Linked DNA regions of Caenorhabditis elegans. The protein of the gene in region 1 purifies or fractionates together with the protein of each later gene. This does not show direct contact. Each region holds a gene or a part of one and is shown in the gene's direction. Other genes may lie near its edges.

Evidence for each region. Proteins that work in one complex are often made in the same cells at the same time.
Region 2: the proteins of pfd-3 (region 1) and pfd-2 fractionate together in Caenorhabditis elegans (co-fractionation; one large-scale study listed by BioGRID). This does not show direct contact.
Region 3: the proteins of pfd-3 (region 1) and pfd-4 fractionate together in Caenorhabditis elegans (co-fractionation; one large-scale study listed by BioGRID). This does not show direct contact.

What each region holds. Positions count from the first base shown.
Region 1 is NC_003279.8:12,725,058-12,731,006, forward strand, and holds pfd-3 (putative prefoldin subunit 3), read left to right. Parts: upstream 1-3,079; 5' UTR 3,080-3,197; coding exon 3,198-3,254; intron 3,255-3,531; coding exon 3,532-3,801; intron 3,802-4,388; coding exon 4,389-4,619; 3' UTR 4,620-4,841; downstream 4,842-5,949. Other genes in the region: trm-61A (tRNA (adenine(58)-N(1))-methyltransferase catalytic subunit TRMT61A), read right to left, coding at 5,033-5,138, 5,315-5,515. UniProt on the Caenorhabditis elegans protein: Binds specifically to cytosolic chaperonin (c-CPN) and transfers target proteins to it. Binds to nascent polypeptide chain and promotes folding in an environment in which there are many competing pathways for nonnative proteins.
Region 2 is NC_003280.10:4,323,844-4,329,381, forward strand, and holds pfd-2 (Prefoldin subunit 2), read left to right. Parts: upstream 1-2,876; coding exon 2,877-3,146; intron 3,147-4,146; coding exon 4,147-4,302; 3' UTR 4,303-4,441; downstream 4,442-5,538. Other genes in the region: H20J04.6 (Transmembrane protein 222), read left to right, coding at 1-73; mog-2 (putative U2 small nuclear ribonucleoprotein A'), read left to right, coding at 524-753, 1,493-2,024; H20J04.4 (RNA helicase), read left to right, coding at 5,189-5,538. UniProt on the Caenorhabditis elegans protein: Binds specifically to cytosolic chaperonin (c-CPN) and transfers target proteins to it. Binds to nascent polypeptide chain and promotes folding in an environment in which there are many competing pathways for nonnative proteins.
Region 3 is NC_003282.8:11,312,120-11,316,974, forward strand, and holds pfd-4 (putative prefoldin subunit 4), read left to right. Parts: upstream 1-3,087; 5' UTR 3,088-3,088; coding exon 3,089-3,175; intron 3,176-3,225; coding exon 3,226-3,357; intron 3,358-3,430; coding exon 3,431-3,592; 3' UTR 3,593-3,758; downstream 3,759-4,855. Other genes in the region: znf-207 (BED-type domain-containing protein), read left to right, coding at 41-217; DnaJ homolog dnj-2, read right to left, coding at 595-780, 827-1,025, 1,075-1,172, 1,220-1,418, 1,463-1,676, 1,740-1,857; B0035.3 (Macro domain-containing protein), read right to left, coding at 2,096-2,299, 2,347-2,468, 2,516-2,755, 2,803-2,848. UniProt on the Caenorhabditis elegans protein: Binds specifically to cytosolic chaperonin (c-CPN) and transfers target proteins to it. Binds to nascent polypeptide chain and promotes folding in an environment in which there are many competing pathways for nonnative proteins.

The sequences.
Region 1 (5,949 bases):
ATTTGCCGAATAAATTGTTCTTTCAGAGCCTCCGTCGTTCACAACTTCAAGGACATCATCATAACAGCACCTGGATCCACAGTTAAATTGAAAGCTGTAGGTGGATATGTGCTCAACTATTGCTCGGAGCTCAGCAGCTACCTTCAGTACTTCCCGATGTTGGTGGAAATCGATCAGGATCTCAAGAGCTTTGAGTGTCTGGCACATTCCTCGGAAAACCTGAATAAATTGGATGCTCTTAGTGTTTATAACTATTATGATACGGGCAGACAAGCAACCATCATGTCAGTTAACGGAAGCAATTTAAGCGTGAAGAGCAGTCATGCGAGAGATTGGCTCGGTGCTCCTTTGATGAGGGGATCAGTTGTGATCGGAATCTCAATTGGACGTGAGTTGTTGAGAAGATCTTACGAGCAGCTTAAATTTCTTTTAGGATCACCTACAGGAGACTCGGCATGGTTCCTGAAGCCGGACAACTATGCGCTTTGTGGATTGGCTGGAATTTGTGAAGGCCCGGCTCAAACTTCCACAGCTCCTTCAACTAGATCCTCTAAACTTCCCACCTCATCGGTTTGGAAGGCAACAACTACACCTTCTGATCTTCCAACCAAGCCTTCAAGAACCCGATCATTGACCTCAACGAGTACTACTACTGCAAAGCTTCCAACAACAACATCCACCACCTTCGCAGCTCCACAAGCTTCCACGGAACCATCGGAGGCAACAGAAGCTTTAGCAACGGCTACACCTGCTGATCTTCCAACCAAACCTTCGGGGAGAGAAATTACTACGATCACAGGCACTCGAAAATTGAGCTCAACGAGTACTACAAAGCTTCCAAAAACAGCATCCAAAACATCCACAGCTCGACTAGCTTCCACGGAACACTCGGAAGCCGCAGGAGCTCCAGCAACGGCTACACCTTTTGATCTTCCAACCAAGCCTTCAACAAGTACTACAAAGCTTCCATCAACGGCTTCCACCACCTCCGCAGCTCCACTAGCTTTCACGGAACCCTCGGAGGTTGCAGAAGCTCCAGCTAATCCAGCGGATCATGAAGAAACTGAAGTCCTTCCATTGGCAAGTGGAGCCTCGAATTGGAACTTAACGTTTTGGATTTTGTGTTTTTATGGAATAAAGTACTTTTAGTTGGGATTTTTTTGTGCTCCGAGAGCTTGGAAGTCTGCATCTAATGGGGATTCTGATCTTCCGGGAGAATCCATACACATGGTGTCAGAGTGTCCCATATCGGCTTGATCTACGTAGATTTACAAAAAACGCGGGAGAAGAGACGCAAAGTTCTCAACTGATTTCGCATGATTAAGAACGTGCTGACGTCACATTTTTTTTGCAAAAAAATCCCGCATTTTTTGTAGATCAAACCGTAATGGGACAGCCTGGCACCATGTGTCCGTTTGGTTACAGGGGCGGTAAGGCTTAGTGGCCTACAAATCTGAAGTTAGGCCATGATTTTTTTAATCGAAAAAACACTGAATTCCTATTCAACTCAACTTGCGAAAACTCTATGCGCCGTTGAACTTCTTTGCAAAAGTATTGATAATAGGTCAGCGGCTACTTTCACGCCAATTCGAAATTTCGAAATATTTCGCAATACCTATGTACCTTTAAACCTTTTTCGCGTTGAGACCTACTCCGACAATTTCCAGAACCATGCTCTCCAATTTTGATGTATTTTTTTCAGAAACAGAAGGACAAAAAATAGTTGTATATTAAAAGCGAACCCCTACGCGTCGTAAATCGACACCGGCCGTGGCCGAGATAAAATGGCCTAGTTCAGCCAAATCTTAGATTTAAAAATATGAAAGCTAGTCCTCGAAACGTTTTTTATTAAAAAAAATTTAACTTTCGGGAAAAAACAAAAAAATAGTACGTTTTTCAAATTGTTTCGGATTTGATTGATTGAAAAAAACCTTTTTGGAGTAAAAAAAATTTCAGATTAAAAACTAAAAATTTTCTAATCACATCACCTGTCACACACGTTGGAAAAAATGATTTATTGAAAATTTTCTGGCCTAAAATAGCTCTGAGAACTGGAAATTTTCTAAAGAACCGAAAAATTAGTAACTACGAAATTCCAGCTCAATTTCAGCAAAAACGGAGCAGCAACGGGGGGCTAAAATAGAAGTTTGACGTATTTCGGCAGCCATCCGGCACCAGGCGGAATATTTAAGTGAGAAGGGTGGAGTTACTCGTCATTTACCCCCGGAAGTTTCTAATAGCAGCTGAAAATACTTTTTTTGGATATTAAACTATTTTTTCGAAAACTTGGGTTATTCTCAGAATGAATATCAAAATCATATTAAGCTCGTTGAGAGCTTTGAAATGACACCCATATTGACATGTTTTGGGTCTCGCTGCGAAAAAAAATTAAAGGCGCATAAGGGTTTTTTTTTGAAAATTTCAAAGTATGGCTTGATTATACTTTTTGAAAGTTCTCAGCGGGGAGAACTCTGAATTGAGTAATGCTGAAAATTTTATTCATGGCCTAACTTTTGAAATTCTAGGCCATATAAGAAAAATCACATTTTTAAGGGTTTTAGACCTGATTTTTAAAGTTTCTTTTTTGAGAAATAAAAGCAATTTTAGAAAATTTTCAAATATTCCACAAAAAAACGTACAAAAGCAAAAATCTCCATCCTAAACGACAGAAAATTGGCGAAAAAATGAGAATTTTGGAAAAGATACGGCTCGGTTTCCGGAAATCTGCACACAATACCCATCGATACAGTCTTTGTAGTGGCTTTGGCGGATAGAAACTTCACAAAGATGTGCTCAAAAGCTCAAAAGCTTTCCCGCGGGCCACTTGAAGCTTCCGCTCATCCACCGTATCCGATTTCGTTTTTTTCCACCGCAACCGATTTGTGTGATGGACGCAGAGTTTGGTTAATGATATTTTTAATTTGAAATTTATCTTTTTTTTAGAAAAAAAATTGAATTTTCAGGGATTTTCAGCTACTTCCTGCGATTTTCCATTAAAAATCTCTGCGTCTCAATGTCTCCCCGCACTCTCTCGCTGGTTCTCGTCGAGAAACGCGCCAAGGCGAGTGCTGGCGCACTTACTGGGATCGAAAAACGCGTCAACTGGAATTTTCTTTTTCCCCGGAATTTCTACGCTCAATTTTTACCGATTTTCCTCGAATTTTTTGCGTTTTTTCGCAAATTTTCATTGAAAAATCATGTCGGACACAGCGGACAGTCTATCAGCACGTGGAATCCCAAAAAGCGAGCTCATTGTAAGTCGGAAAATTTAAAAAATTGAAAATCTCTAAAAACTCGAGAAAAAATCCAGTAAACCAGTATTTTCCATTGAATTTTGGAAGAAGTCTCAAGAATTTCCTCAAAAAACTAAGTTTTCCCTCAAAACTGAAAAATTCGGGAAAAAAATGTCAAATCCTATTTTTCAAACAAAAATTGGAGTTTGTTATGGAAATTTTCTGGAATTTTAGTGAAAAATCTTTAAAAAATATTAGAAAATTCACAAATTCCTCTCTGAACCCCATTTTTTTTCAGGAAGACGTCGAGTCATGGCTCACAAAGGAGAAGCTTTCGATCGAGGAAGCCGAAGTTGTGCTCCGTGAGAAATACGGAAAGTACAAATACGTCGAATCATCGATGCTCGCTCAAAAAGTACGAATGAGCGAAAAAATCCCGGAATTCGAGAACAGTTTGAGCATTATCGACACATTAATCGCGAAAAGAGCCGCCGATGAGTCGTTCGAGACGACTTTCCTGCTCTCCGATGATGTCTACACAAAAGCCACTGTTCAGAAGCCCGAGAAGGTAGAAAAAACGCTGAAAATTCAAGAAAAATAGCTGGAAATCGATATTTTCAAGGAAAAATCGCCTAAAATCAAGTTCCCACAATTTTTTCCTCGAAAATTCACAAAAAATGTGATTTTTCAACCAATTTTAACACAAAAATGCCAGAAAACCCCATTTTTAAGGAAATTGGCACTTGAAAACCGCAAAAATTTGAATTTTTGACTTTAATTTTTTTTTTCCCAAGAAAATACCTAAAAATCCTCATTTTAAGCCAATTTCAGCATTAAAAAAGGCTGAATTTTAGAATTTTTAGTCAACTTGCACAGGGAAACTTCACAATATTTTTTTCTAGCTATTTTTCAAAAAAAAAATCAATTTTTGATGCGAAAAACTTCAAAAAACCAACTTTCAGCAATTTTCGGCAATTTTTATCGAAAAAACTCAAAATTTCGTATTTTAAAAAGCAATTTCCTCCCAAAAACCCAGAATTATAATTTTTTAGCAATTTTTCCCGGAAAAACATTAAAAATTCTGATTTTCAGCCCTAAAAATGGCTCAATAATTCAATTTTCAGAAAAACCCTCTAAAATTCCCGAAATTTCCAGGTATCAATCTGGCTTGGAGCCAACGTAATGGTCGAATATGACCTTGAAAATGCTCGAAAACTGCTCGACAAAAACCGTGGCTCCGTTCAAAAAGTGGTCGACGAGCTGACAAACGAATTGTCATATATTAAGGATCAAATCACCACAACCGAAGTCAACATGTCCCATATTGTCAATTTTGGAGTTAATAAACGTCGTGCCGCTCTCGCTGTCAATAATGGAGCGAAATAATTGATCAAAATTACACAATTTTCCCCGTTTTTCGCCCGAAAAATCTCTTGAAATCCCCTTTAAAATCCCATTTTTTGATTGTTTCTGCTGAATTTTTGTTGAATTTTCCGTATTTTTGTCCCGCCACATCCCCCCGATTTGCTTTTAAATTTTGCTATAATTTTTCGCCAATTTTTCATAAAATTCAAAAATCCAAAAAAGTGCAGAAATTTTGAAAACAAAAATCGATTTTCCCATATTATTTGACTAAAATTGGATATTTTTCACTATTTTTCAAAAGATTTTCTCCAAAAATCGTGATTTTTTCCCGTTTTTAGCTTGAAATTTGCAATTTTTCTCACGAAATTCAAAAATTCAAAAAATTTAACAGCAACAAAAATTTAAAAAATCAACAATCAAATTAAAAAAATAAATTATTCGGCGACCGGGAGCATCGTGGCATGAGTCAGGTACCCAGTGTGTGTTGGCTGAGAATATGGATAGACGATTGCAATTGTGATACGTGGAATGGCGGAGCTGCTGAAAATTTGCACAATTTTAGCTCGATGGCCTGGATTTTCACTCCGGGGTTCGAGTCCCCACTGTGGTCGAAATATTTTTATTGGTTCTTTTTCAATTTTTTTAGGGTAAACCAAGGGTCCTGAGCTCGAAAATCAACATCTCAGCAGCCAGAAATCAATGGAAAATGCCCAAACCTTTGCTCAACGATTGTTCCATCGACATTTCTCTTCCGTTCCTTCGGATAAGCATCACCGAGCTCTTCAAACTCTTCAAGCGTCTGCCGGTGTTGACTGACGATCTTCTTCTGCTCGGGAACGAGCTCAATCGTCTCGATGCTCACGAAACCGGCGGCCGCCATGGCTAGGCAGGCACGTTGGACTTGTTCCAGGCACGGACTGTAAGAAAAATCGGGGGTTTGGAGCAAAAATTGGGGAAATTGGCTGAAAACGAGGGTTTCGGGTTCAATTTTTGCAGGGAGTCGCCGGAAAATGTAAAATTTTTCGGTTTTTTCTGAGATAAACGAAAAAGTAAAAAAAAACAATTTTTTTGAATTAAAATTTTATGAAAATTGCCAAAATTTCCAGTTTTTTTCACAAAATCAAAATTTTTCGTTTTTTTCTGTTTTCTTGCAGAAAATTGGAAATTAACAAAAATGACCAAAATGTTCAGTTTTTTACAAAAAAATTCAAAAAAATTTTTTTAAGCACCTCGAAAAATCGAAATTTTTGAATTTTCGATATTCCAAAAAAAACTTTTGTTTCCCTTTTCTATTTATTGTTACGAACAAAATTTGATAAAAGTTTGAAATTTGTGTTAATTTTCCAATTTT
Region 2 (5,538 bases), on another chromosome or scaffold:
GGATATGCTCGCTCAATACCTTCCATTCGTTATAATTGTCTTCATTTTCGTTGCGCTGTGGGCTTTTTTATAATTTTTGACCATGGGAATTCTACAAAATGACCTATTTCATTATGTTTTCCAGCATATTTTCATTGAAAATTAGATTTATCTAGAAACAGCATTTATTTCAGCCGAAACAGTTGAGAAAATGAACAAAAATGGACGTTTCAGCTGGAATAAATGGTAATTTCAGAGAAATCGAGGGATTTTCTATATTTTTACACTGATTTTTCGTGAATAATGCTGAAAAACATGGTTAAATAGACTATTTTGTGGAATAATTTGATCTCATGTAAAATATAGTCCAACTGTTAAATATTTCGTGTGATATATTATGTAAAATGTATTTTTTTTCTGTAATTTTCATATATATTTTTTTCAAGTTTTCTTGATGTTTAACCGGTTTGCAGCCGACTTTTTGTCTATCTTCTATGTTTTTTTGTTATTTTTTACATTGAAAACCCCCTAATTCCAGCGAAAAATGGTCCGTCTCACGACTGAGCTGTTCGCCGAGCGTCCACAATTCGTCAATTCGGTCAATATGCGGGAGATCAACTTGCGCGGCCAAAAAATCCCCGTAATCGAGAATATGGGAGTGACGAGGGATCAATTCGATGTCATCGATCTGACTGACAACGATATCAGGAAATTGGACAATTTTCCGACGTTTTCTCGTTTGAATACGCTGTATCTTCATAATAATCGAATCAAGTGCGTAGTTTTCCGAAAAACGAGCGAAAAGTGGCTAAATTTAGCTAAAAATATAGAATTTTGCACCATATTTTGCTGGAAAAGCCCAAATTTTAGCTAAAAATTCCAATTTTGCCAATTTATCCGTGTTTTAGTGCTTTTCCAGTCGATTTGTACCCAACTTTGGTTATTTTCGACTGAAAAGTACCGAAAAATGGGGTTTCCTGGCAGAATTCGGTGATTTCAGCTTGAAATAGGGTTTTAAAAAATTTTAAACCGGAAAATTCTGACAAACTTCCCTAAATTGAATTTAAAAAATTGAAAAAAAAACGTTTCTTTGCTCTGAAATTTCATGAAATTTCCAAATTTTTTTTTCGGCAAGTTGGCGAAAAATTCAGATTTAGCCGGATTTCGCTATTTTTTCCAAAAAAAAAAAACGAAAAAATCAGTTTTTTATGAAAGAACATAGGAAAAATATAATTTTTTTCCTGAAAAAGTTCGAAAAATTTTAAGCCATTTTTCGAAAAATCGAAGTTTTTTTCGGAAAGTAGGGGAAAAAATCGATTTTTCAGAAAATATCCTAAAATTTTGGTCATTTTCAAATTTTTAAAATACTTTCTCTAATTTATTCTTCAAAAATTTAAATTTTATGGTTACTATTTCCTGAAAAAAAATTAAAAACCCTCCATTTTTCATTGCAAAACTGCTTTTTTCCCACATTTTCGAGCTCCATTCCCACCAATTTACCCCATATTTTCAGCTATATCGCACCCGACATTGCCACAAAACTTCCAAATCTCAAAACTCTTGCACTGACCAACAACAACATTTGCGAGCTCGGAGACATTGAGCCACTGGCAGAATGCAAGAAGCTCGAGTACGTGACATTTATCGGAAATCCGATAACTCACAAGGACAATTATCGGATGTATATGATCTACAAGCTGCCGACGGTTCGAGTGATTGACTTCAATCGAGTCAGACTGACAGAACGTGAAGCTGCGAAGAAGATGTTCAAAGGAAAAAGTGGAAAGAAGGCGAGAGATGCGATTCAGAAGAGTGTTCATACAGAAGATCCATCAGAAATTGAACCAAATGAGAATAGTTCGGGTGGAGGTGCTCGGCTTACTGATGAAGATCGGGAGAAGATCAAGGAAGCGATCAAGAATGCCAAGTCACTCAGTGAAGTCAACTATCTTCAGTCGATTCTGGCATCGGGAAAGGTTCCGGAAAAGGGATGGAATCGTCAGATGGATCAGAATGGTGCCGATGGGGAAGCGATGGAGTCTTGAAAAATCTTGAAAATTGCAGAATGTGCTGCTAAAATTTATTTATTTATTTTATTTGATTTTTTTAATGTTAAAATGATACTCCTTGTTTTATTTATATTCTCATTTTTTTCCAATTTTTTCCCAGTCTGTCTTCCCTTTTTTTGTAATTTTTATATACCATAAAACAATATTTCCCCTATTATTTTTGATATTTTTATCGATTTTTCAAAGGTTCCCCGTGCCTTTTTATATTTGATTTTTTGAAATTTTTGCAACAAAAAGTTAGAAAAAAATCCTTTTTCAGCCATTTTTGTGTTTTCCGGCTATTTTTTATTATTTTATTAATTTTGAGAGGTTCCCACTGGGAACTTCCCAGCGCCTTCAAATATCTATTTGGAAAAAAAAGGTTTAAAAATTGGAAAAAACGCGGATTTTTTTTTGAATTCTCGCCTAAAATAATCCATTTTTTGTGTTTTTTTGTCATTTTTCCGCAAAAAAAAAACTTCAAAACCCTTAAAAAAATGCGTTAAAACTCTAAAATTACCCTAAAAATCGATAATTTTAGACTTTTTTTTTCACAAAAACTATCGATTTTTGGCTAATTTTAGAGTTTTCAACTTTTTTTGCTGAAAAATGACTGAAAATGTGACAATGAAAAACCGATAAAAAAAGCCGGAAAATACAAAAATGTAGAAAATCGGTGAGAAATTCAAAAATAAATCGGCTTTCACTAGTTTTTTTGCAAAATATTTTGAAAAATCTTTTTTTTTCAATTATAAAAATTTTTTTTGGTCAGTTTTGGCAAAAAAAACCAAAAAAAAACTGGCTCTCTACCATTAAAACAATTATTTTCAAAAAATCCACAACTTCCAGATGTCGGCCGCTCAAACCGCCGCCGCCACTCCAGCCGAGCAAGAAGAGCAACGAAAAGTCGTCGAAAAGTTCAAGGCTCTACGTGATCAACAACAGGATATCGCCGCCGAAGTGACTCGAATCGAAGAGGAACGACGTGAATTTGGACGTGTTCTCGAAGTGATCAAGGATCTTGAACCGGATCAGAAATGCTTCCGTTTGATTAGTGATACACTTGTCGAGTATACTGTCAAGGATGTTATTCCGGATTTGCAGAATAATATCGCTAATGTGAGGATTTGAAAGTCGGGAAAAATAGAAGAAAAGGCGGAGGAAACAGTCATGTGTCGATTTACGGAGTTTGTGTACTCCTCGTGGAGAAGATTTTACAGATTCCGGCTGAAATACCTGATTTTCGACCTTTTTTCTATATTTAACGCGTTTTAAATTGGGGATTTACAGTATTTCCGATGAAAATTGACAGTTTTTTGAAGCAAAAAAAAATATTTTTTCATCTGAAACACTGAATTTTCCGATTTGTTGCACCAAAAATACGGTATCTGGAAGCTATGCGCCTTCAAGGAGTACTGTAATTTGAAATTTGTGGAATTTATATTGATTTTCCGTAGTTTTTCGATAAAACACTTCAATTTTAACAAATCGAATGAAAAAATATAAACAAATCGATGGAAACTTTGCAAATTCGGGTACTCTTTAAAGGTGCGCAGCGTCATGTATTCGAAACAAATGTCGTGTCGAGATCAGACATCGTAGTTTTAGCGCAAAATTTCGCGTTTTTACACCTAAAAATTGAAAAAAAAAACCAGATTTTCCGTTTTTTTTATAGCGAAACCCCCAATTTGCGCTGGGAAATACTGTAAAAATACGATTTTAATATGGTTAAATACAAAAAATTGAAAAAAAAAACAGACTTCTCCTCGTGGAGTACACGAGCTGCGTAAATCGACACAAGACCATGATTTCACAGCCATTTTGCCATTTTTAATGCGAAAATTCATTGAAAATCAGTGTCAAAACATGGAAAATTAACGGTTTAATCTTAAAATAACAGTAATTTCAACGAAAATATTTGAGAAAACGGTCAAAAATGGTCTGAAAGTTGAATTTTGTTCAACTTTCAGGCAATTTTTGAGCTCTATCTTGGATATTTCGATTGAAAATAGTGTAATTTAAAGAGAAATCGAGTGATTTTCTATATTTTGTCACAAATTTTCAGCAGAAAAACATGGTGCAACTGACCAGAATTACCGAAAATAATAAAATTTTGCAGTTGACAATCGTCTCGAAGCAGCTCAACGATCAGCTCGTCGAAAAGGGAAAAGAGCTGAACACTCACAAAACTACACACAACATTCGTCTGCTCACTGAGAAAGAATCTGCCGAGCTGAGAAAAGCTGAAGCTCTTGGACAATTGCCAAAAGCTTAAATTTCCCCTGCTTTAATTTTTTTCTCGATTTCCTACTGCTTTTTCATGTTTTCATACGTTTTTTCTTACTCTGTTTGTTGCCTTTTTTCTATATGCTCCCGTTAAAAGAACTTAAGTCTTGCATAAATTGAATTTGAATTTTTTTTCGATTTTTAACTGCTTTATTATGGTTTTTGAAATCCAATTTTATCTTTTTTTTTTTGAAAAAAAAAACATTTTTTGGTTTAATAAGTTTTTTTTCCAAATTTCGATATTTTCCCCGTTATTCAACAAAATTCATCGATTTTTTCATCGTTTTCACATTTTCAGAATTTTTTTTCGAAAAAAACTGAAAAAGTAGCCTAAAACCGATAATTTAACATTCAATCATATTTTTTGCGAAAAAAATTGAAAAAAAAACTATTTTTCAAGTTTGTCATTTTTTGATTGATTACTAACTTAAAAAATGGTTTTTTTTTTCAAATTTTTTCCCATAAAAAGTATAATTTAATGTTAAACTATCGATTTTTAGGGTACTTTTACAGTTTTTTGAGAAAAAATGTCTGGAAAAATGGGAAACCATGTTTCAAATTATAAAAAACTGCAAAAAGTGAAGAAAAATCAATAAATTTAGTCAAAAAACTCAACAAAAAAAGTTTTAAAAATTCGAACTTTCTCAATTTTTTTAGAAAAATGAAAAAAATATCGATTTTTCGAACAAAAAATCGAGAAAAAAGAAGAAATTATGGAAAAAATGAAATTCTTTCAAAAAAGTCGGAAAATTAATTGGAAATTATGGAAATTTTCCAATAAAATTTCAAAAAATACCGAATAATCAAGAAACGATGAATTTTTTTTTTGATTTTTCAACAAAAAATCAAAAAATCTGAAATTTCAGCCAAAAACCATGTCAAAAGTGTGCGATGCAATTCTATCGGACGACGATGATGATTTGGAGATGGATGAAGAGCAGGAAAAGCCATCTACGAGCTCAAAATCCGTGAAAAATGAAGAATTTGAGGAATTTGAAGACGGCGAAGATGTAGAGGATGAGGAGGATGAAGCTTCAGATGAAGATGAAGAAGAATCTGAAGGAGAAGAAGGCGATGAATTCAAGTCATCAGATGACACCCCAAAGCCCATTCAAATCTCCGAAGACAACATGACAACTAAGAAATTCTCCCAACTCGGCGTGTGCTCCTGGATCACTCAACAGCTTCAAACTATGCAAATTAAGACGGCGACGCCAGTTCAGGC
Region 3 (4,855 bases), on another chromosome or scaffold:
AAAGTTAAATAAAACTTGTTTTTAATTTTAATATTTTAAGCCTAACAACGGTCCACCAACTACGTCTTCTGGTGCAGCTGCCGCTTCTGCTGCGGCAGTAGTTGCATCTAAACTTGGCTCGAGGACAAGAATAGTCTATCCAGATGATCATTCGCTGTCTCTAGAGGAGCGTCGTGTAAAAATGCTCTTCGAAAAACGCAGCAATCCCTATCACTGAGCACTTCCGAATCTCTTCTTCTTTCATGTCCCGCCCATTTACCTTATATTCTGTGTTTTACTGAAAATTGTCCTCTCGTCCATGTTAAATTATTGAATAATCCATCGATGGGTTTTTATTTTTGAAATTCCAAAAAAAAAAAGCAATTTTTATCAATTGAATAAATTATCACCCACAGTAAAAAAAGATTGAAAATGAAGAAAAAACATCAATATTGGTAAGAAAGAAGTAGATTATGCTCGCAAACTCGGAGAAACATTCGAGTTAAGTGAAAACATGAAATGCTATAAAAATTTGATGATAAAACAGCTGCATAAAGGAATAATAATTTAGAAAGAACGAGTTATAAAATGCAATAAGTAATTTTTAGTAAATATTTAATCTTCATCGACAAACGAAATAGTTCCCGCGTTTTTCATATATCTCTTATACCTTTTGTACCGACCCGATTGAGCCATTTTTTCTTGTTCCGCAGCGTCTCGTTCGGCTTTCCACGTTGCACAGTTTCGTTTCAGCCAGCATTCTCGTTCAAAAAGATCATCAATGTCTTCATCAGTGTACTTCTGAAAATTAAATTATTAACTTTTGATGATAGAAAAAAGTATTTACCTGATCGAATTCCATTTGTGAAACTCCAATGTACTTTCTAATGAGATAAAGCTTGGCGTCATCATCATATTCCTCCTTTTGAATTGCAAATCTCCAATACCAAAGTGCTGTCCATTTAATGTATCGGAATATCGTTAATGGGAAAATAATTGTGTGCCATGCGAGAGTATCGTAGATGGATTCTCGTTTGTAGCCACCCCTAAAATGTAGCTCAAATTATTTTACGAAAAATCTCAAGAATAACTGACGTGACATCAAGATTATCAATAATTATTTGCTTGATAACTTCATCATTGTCAACTCCTTTGTTCTTTTTTAATTTTCCATTCCGATCCATTTCCAGCAACTGAAAGCTAGATATTAATTACAGTGCAAGCTTAAAAATCGACCTACGCCTTTATCAATTCCATCTTTAATTGCCATATTGCGGAATTTTCCAACACCGGTTGCATATTCGATTGCTTCTGAGAACTTGTGTTTTGCAGAGAGGAATTGGAAGAGTGAAATGATAAGAATAGTTCCAACAATGACAATTCGAAGATCTACTTTTGGAGCGGCGCGAAGACGATAATATTGATAGTAATTGTAGAATCTTAAATAAAGAATATTTAAGTGTTCATATTCAGAGCGTCATACCTTTGATCAGGATGATCGAGATAATAGTCGTAATTAGTTTTTGCTTCATCATCCTTAAGTGTTTCATAAGCAGTGGCAATTACTCGGAAACGTTCTTCGGCGAGAAGCTTCTCTTCCTTATTCTTGACTCTATCTGGATGATGCTTCCTAGCCAGAGCTCTATATGCTTTAGCTAGCTTCTGCTTATCGAATTCCTCACGATTGACTTCGAGTACTGTAAATATGAATGCATTTATAGTTTTAACGTTTTCAGATCTTCATGAAAGTTTTGACTCACCATCATAACAGTTTTCTAATCCACAATAGAGCTCTGGAGCAAATCCGACCGATTCACATTCCTGGACGAAAAATGATACTAGTAAGAACAAGATGGGCGCCGCAATTGCTGAGCGCATTCTGCTGAAAAACAAAGATTGAGAAAAAATTTAAAAATGAGAACTGAAATATGAATCACCGAAAATCGGAAAATGAGAGAAAAACACAAATAATCATAGGTGAAATGTGACATGTTTATGAAGCAATCAACACCGGAAACAATGTAAACATTACGGATCAAAACCGATCTGATAGTGAGATTATGGAGTCAACATAAAATAAAAATAGTCATGTACAGTAAATGTGCAATAGAAAGTTTTAGGCGATACTTTGATCCTTTGATGCAGCATAATCACCGAAATACTTATTGTAATGCTCGTTGTCAATGTCAAGGAATGTAACAAGTACAATCCGTTCAATTGTATCATTCTTTTCAAGATACTCGGTCAGGAAATTGGTGACGGTTTTAGCGGCATCGTCATTTGGATAACCGTACACACCAGTAGAAATGCAACAGAAGGCCTGAAAATATATAATATTTGCAGTTATTTTTCAGATGAAACACTTACAATACTCTTCATCCCGTTCTCGATAGCAATATCTAGTGATGTTCTGTAACATGCAACAAGATTTTCACGCCGTTCATCTGTGACATTTCCATATACTTGTGGACCAACTGTGTGGATTATTTCTGAAAATTCCAATAAAATACGATCAAACAATGCTATAAATACTTACTTTTGATGTGATTAATATTGCATCCAGAGGTAATGACAGCATCTCCGACAGCACATCCGTTGTATTGCTGGCATTCTTCCTGTAGTTGCTTCCGTCCAGCTGCACGATGAATTGCACCATCAACGCCACCACCTCCAGCTAATCGACTGTTTGCTGCATTGACAATTGCGTCGACGGAAAGTTTAGTAATATCTCCATCCCAGACACTGATACGGCCCAGAACGTTTTTGGCAACCTTGACTGAAAATTGTGTACTATTTTAGAATTATGAAACGCCTGAAGCTTACATTTTTCAAAGAGAGTTGGAATTTCTGAAATTTTAGCTGCTGCCATTTTTTATCAGCCTTAAATTTGAACTGATAGTGACTTAAAAACAAAACAAATTAGGATAAAACAACGCGTGGAAGAAATTGTTCACGAGGACTACACGCAACATGGACTAGAATTTCGTGCGGCCGTGGCTGAGTTTTCTTATTTTTATGTTTCTCTCTCCAGAATTTTCTGTTTAATATCTTTTAATGTTGTTTCTTCGTTGTTTCTTTAATTAAATCTTTGAATTAAAAATAATTTAGAATGCCGGAACACACGAAAGTTTCTGCTGAAGACCAAGCGCTTCTCAATAAATTCGCTCGGTCATACCAAACACAAACCCAGTTAAAAGTACGTTTTTTTTTAAATTTTACATTAAAGTTTCTCTTCTTTAATTTCAGGCAGACGTTAAAGAAGCTAAAACACTCATTGACAATATCAATGAAGCAAGTGATGAAATTTTGTTGCTCGATGATGAGGATTCAGCATCAATTCCATGCAGAATTGGAAGCTGCTTCGTTCATTTCAATGGGGTGAGCAGTTTTTTTTTTAATTTGAATTGAGAATTAACGTTTGGTTTACACGAAAGTAGTGATTGGTTTTCAGGATAGTCTGAATGAGCATTTGGAAGGAAAGAAGACAACAGCAGAGAAGGTTTTGTCTGAGAAAACCTCCGAGTTGGATGCAATCTCAGCGGACATGGAGCAAATCAAGAAGGTTTTGTACGCCAAATTCGGAGATCAGATCAATTTGGACGCTGAAGAATAATCTATAAATTCTAATTTCTTATTTTGCTCGATTTTGTATCTTTTCCGTTGAAGCTTTCATATATAAAAATTATCTCAATTTAAAAATTGCTTTTCTCACCTTTTTCACAACGTGTGCTCACTGTTCACTGTTTCCGCGTATTTTGCTGATGAATTTTTTCGACCGATTTTCCTTATCACGAATGGCACCACCCACTTGTGGGTCACACCAGATCCTAAATATCAATATAGTGGACGGGAAGAGGAAGGTTTTTTCGTGTTTGGTGTTCATTTTAGTTTACATGTTTTGTTTCCCATTGCTCTTTATTTATAGAGGAGACGCTCGCCCACGTAATATAATAGCATTTTGGAAAAATCCATTATCTTTCAGACAATCTTATCATGATTTCCACAATAGACTGGCTAGAATGTAGCATTCTAAATATTTGAATTTAACAGAAAATATTCAATTTCTCTTTAAAAAAATACTTGAAAATTAATTATATTCCCAAATTGGCAACATTCTTTCCCGATTGTCTTTCTGTCCATTTAATTTGTCTGCCCTTTCTTTTCTCACCTTTTTTATCCGTTTCTTTCTTTGTCACCTCCGAAGTTTTGTCAGCATTTTCCGTTTTTTTCTCCTCATATTTTGTTTGCACTTTTCACCTTCTAAAAAAATGATCGGCAGAGACACAAATAAATGTGGCCATTCGTGTGCTCCGTTTTCCAAATGAAACCCGATTGGCAGAATTTATGGTTGAAAATGCATAGTTATTTAGGAGTTGCAAAGAACAGTTTTCATTCTTCTTTTTCTTTGTCTTCTTGTTAATTTGGTAAACTGATCAGACGTTAATCAAATTGATAAACTTTCAAGTTCAGTGATTTTTGATTTGTTTTCTGAAAACGAAATTAGTTTTTTCTCTGATAGACTAAGTCTTCGAAGAATTCATCTTCCAGATAAAATCCAAAAAAAATGTGTTCCAGAATATCCTAGTCGGTCAACTAAAAGTCAAGAACCATAGATTAAATCTAGAGTTACAAAGTTTCGTCTCTTCTCCAGAGTCAAGTTACTCGAGTTTTTATGTTTCCTAGAGAAATACATTGTTTCTTTTCATTGTCGATCAATGTCGCCCAGAGAACATTATTTGTCATGGTTACCACTCGCACACACTACACAATTTCATTCAGTCATCATTTTTTGTGACCCGAGAAGATTTCAGTAAATATTTTCATGTTTGTAAAGAGACTGGCGCATCCACTTTTCTCTTACTGTTTCTTTCTTCTC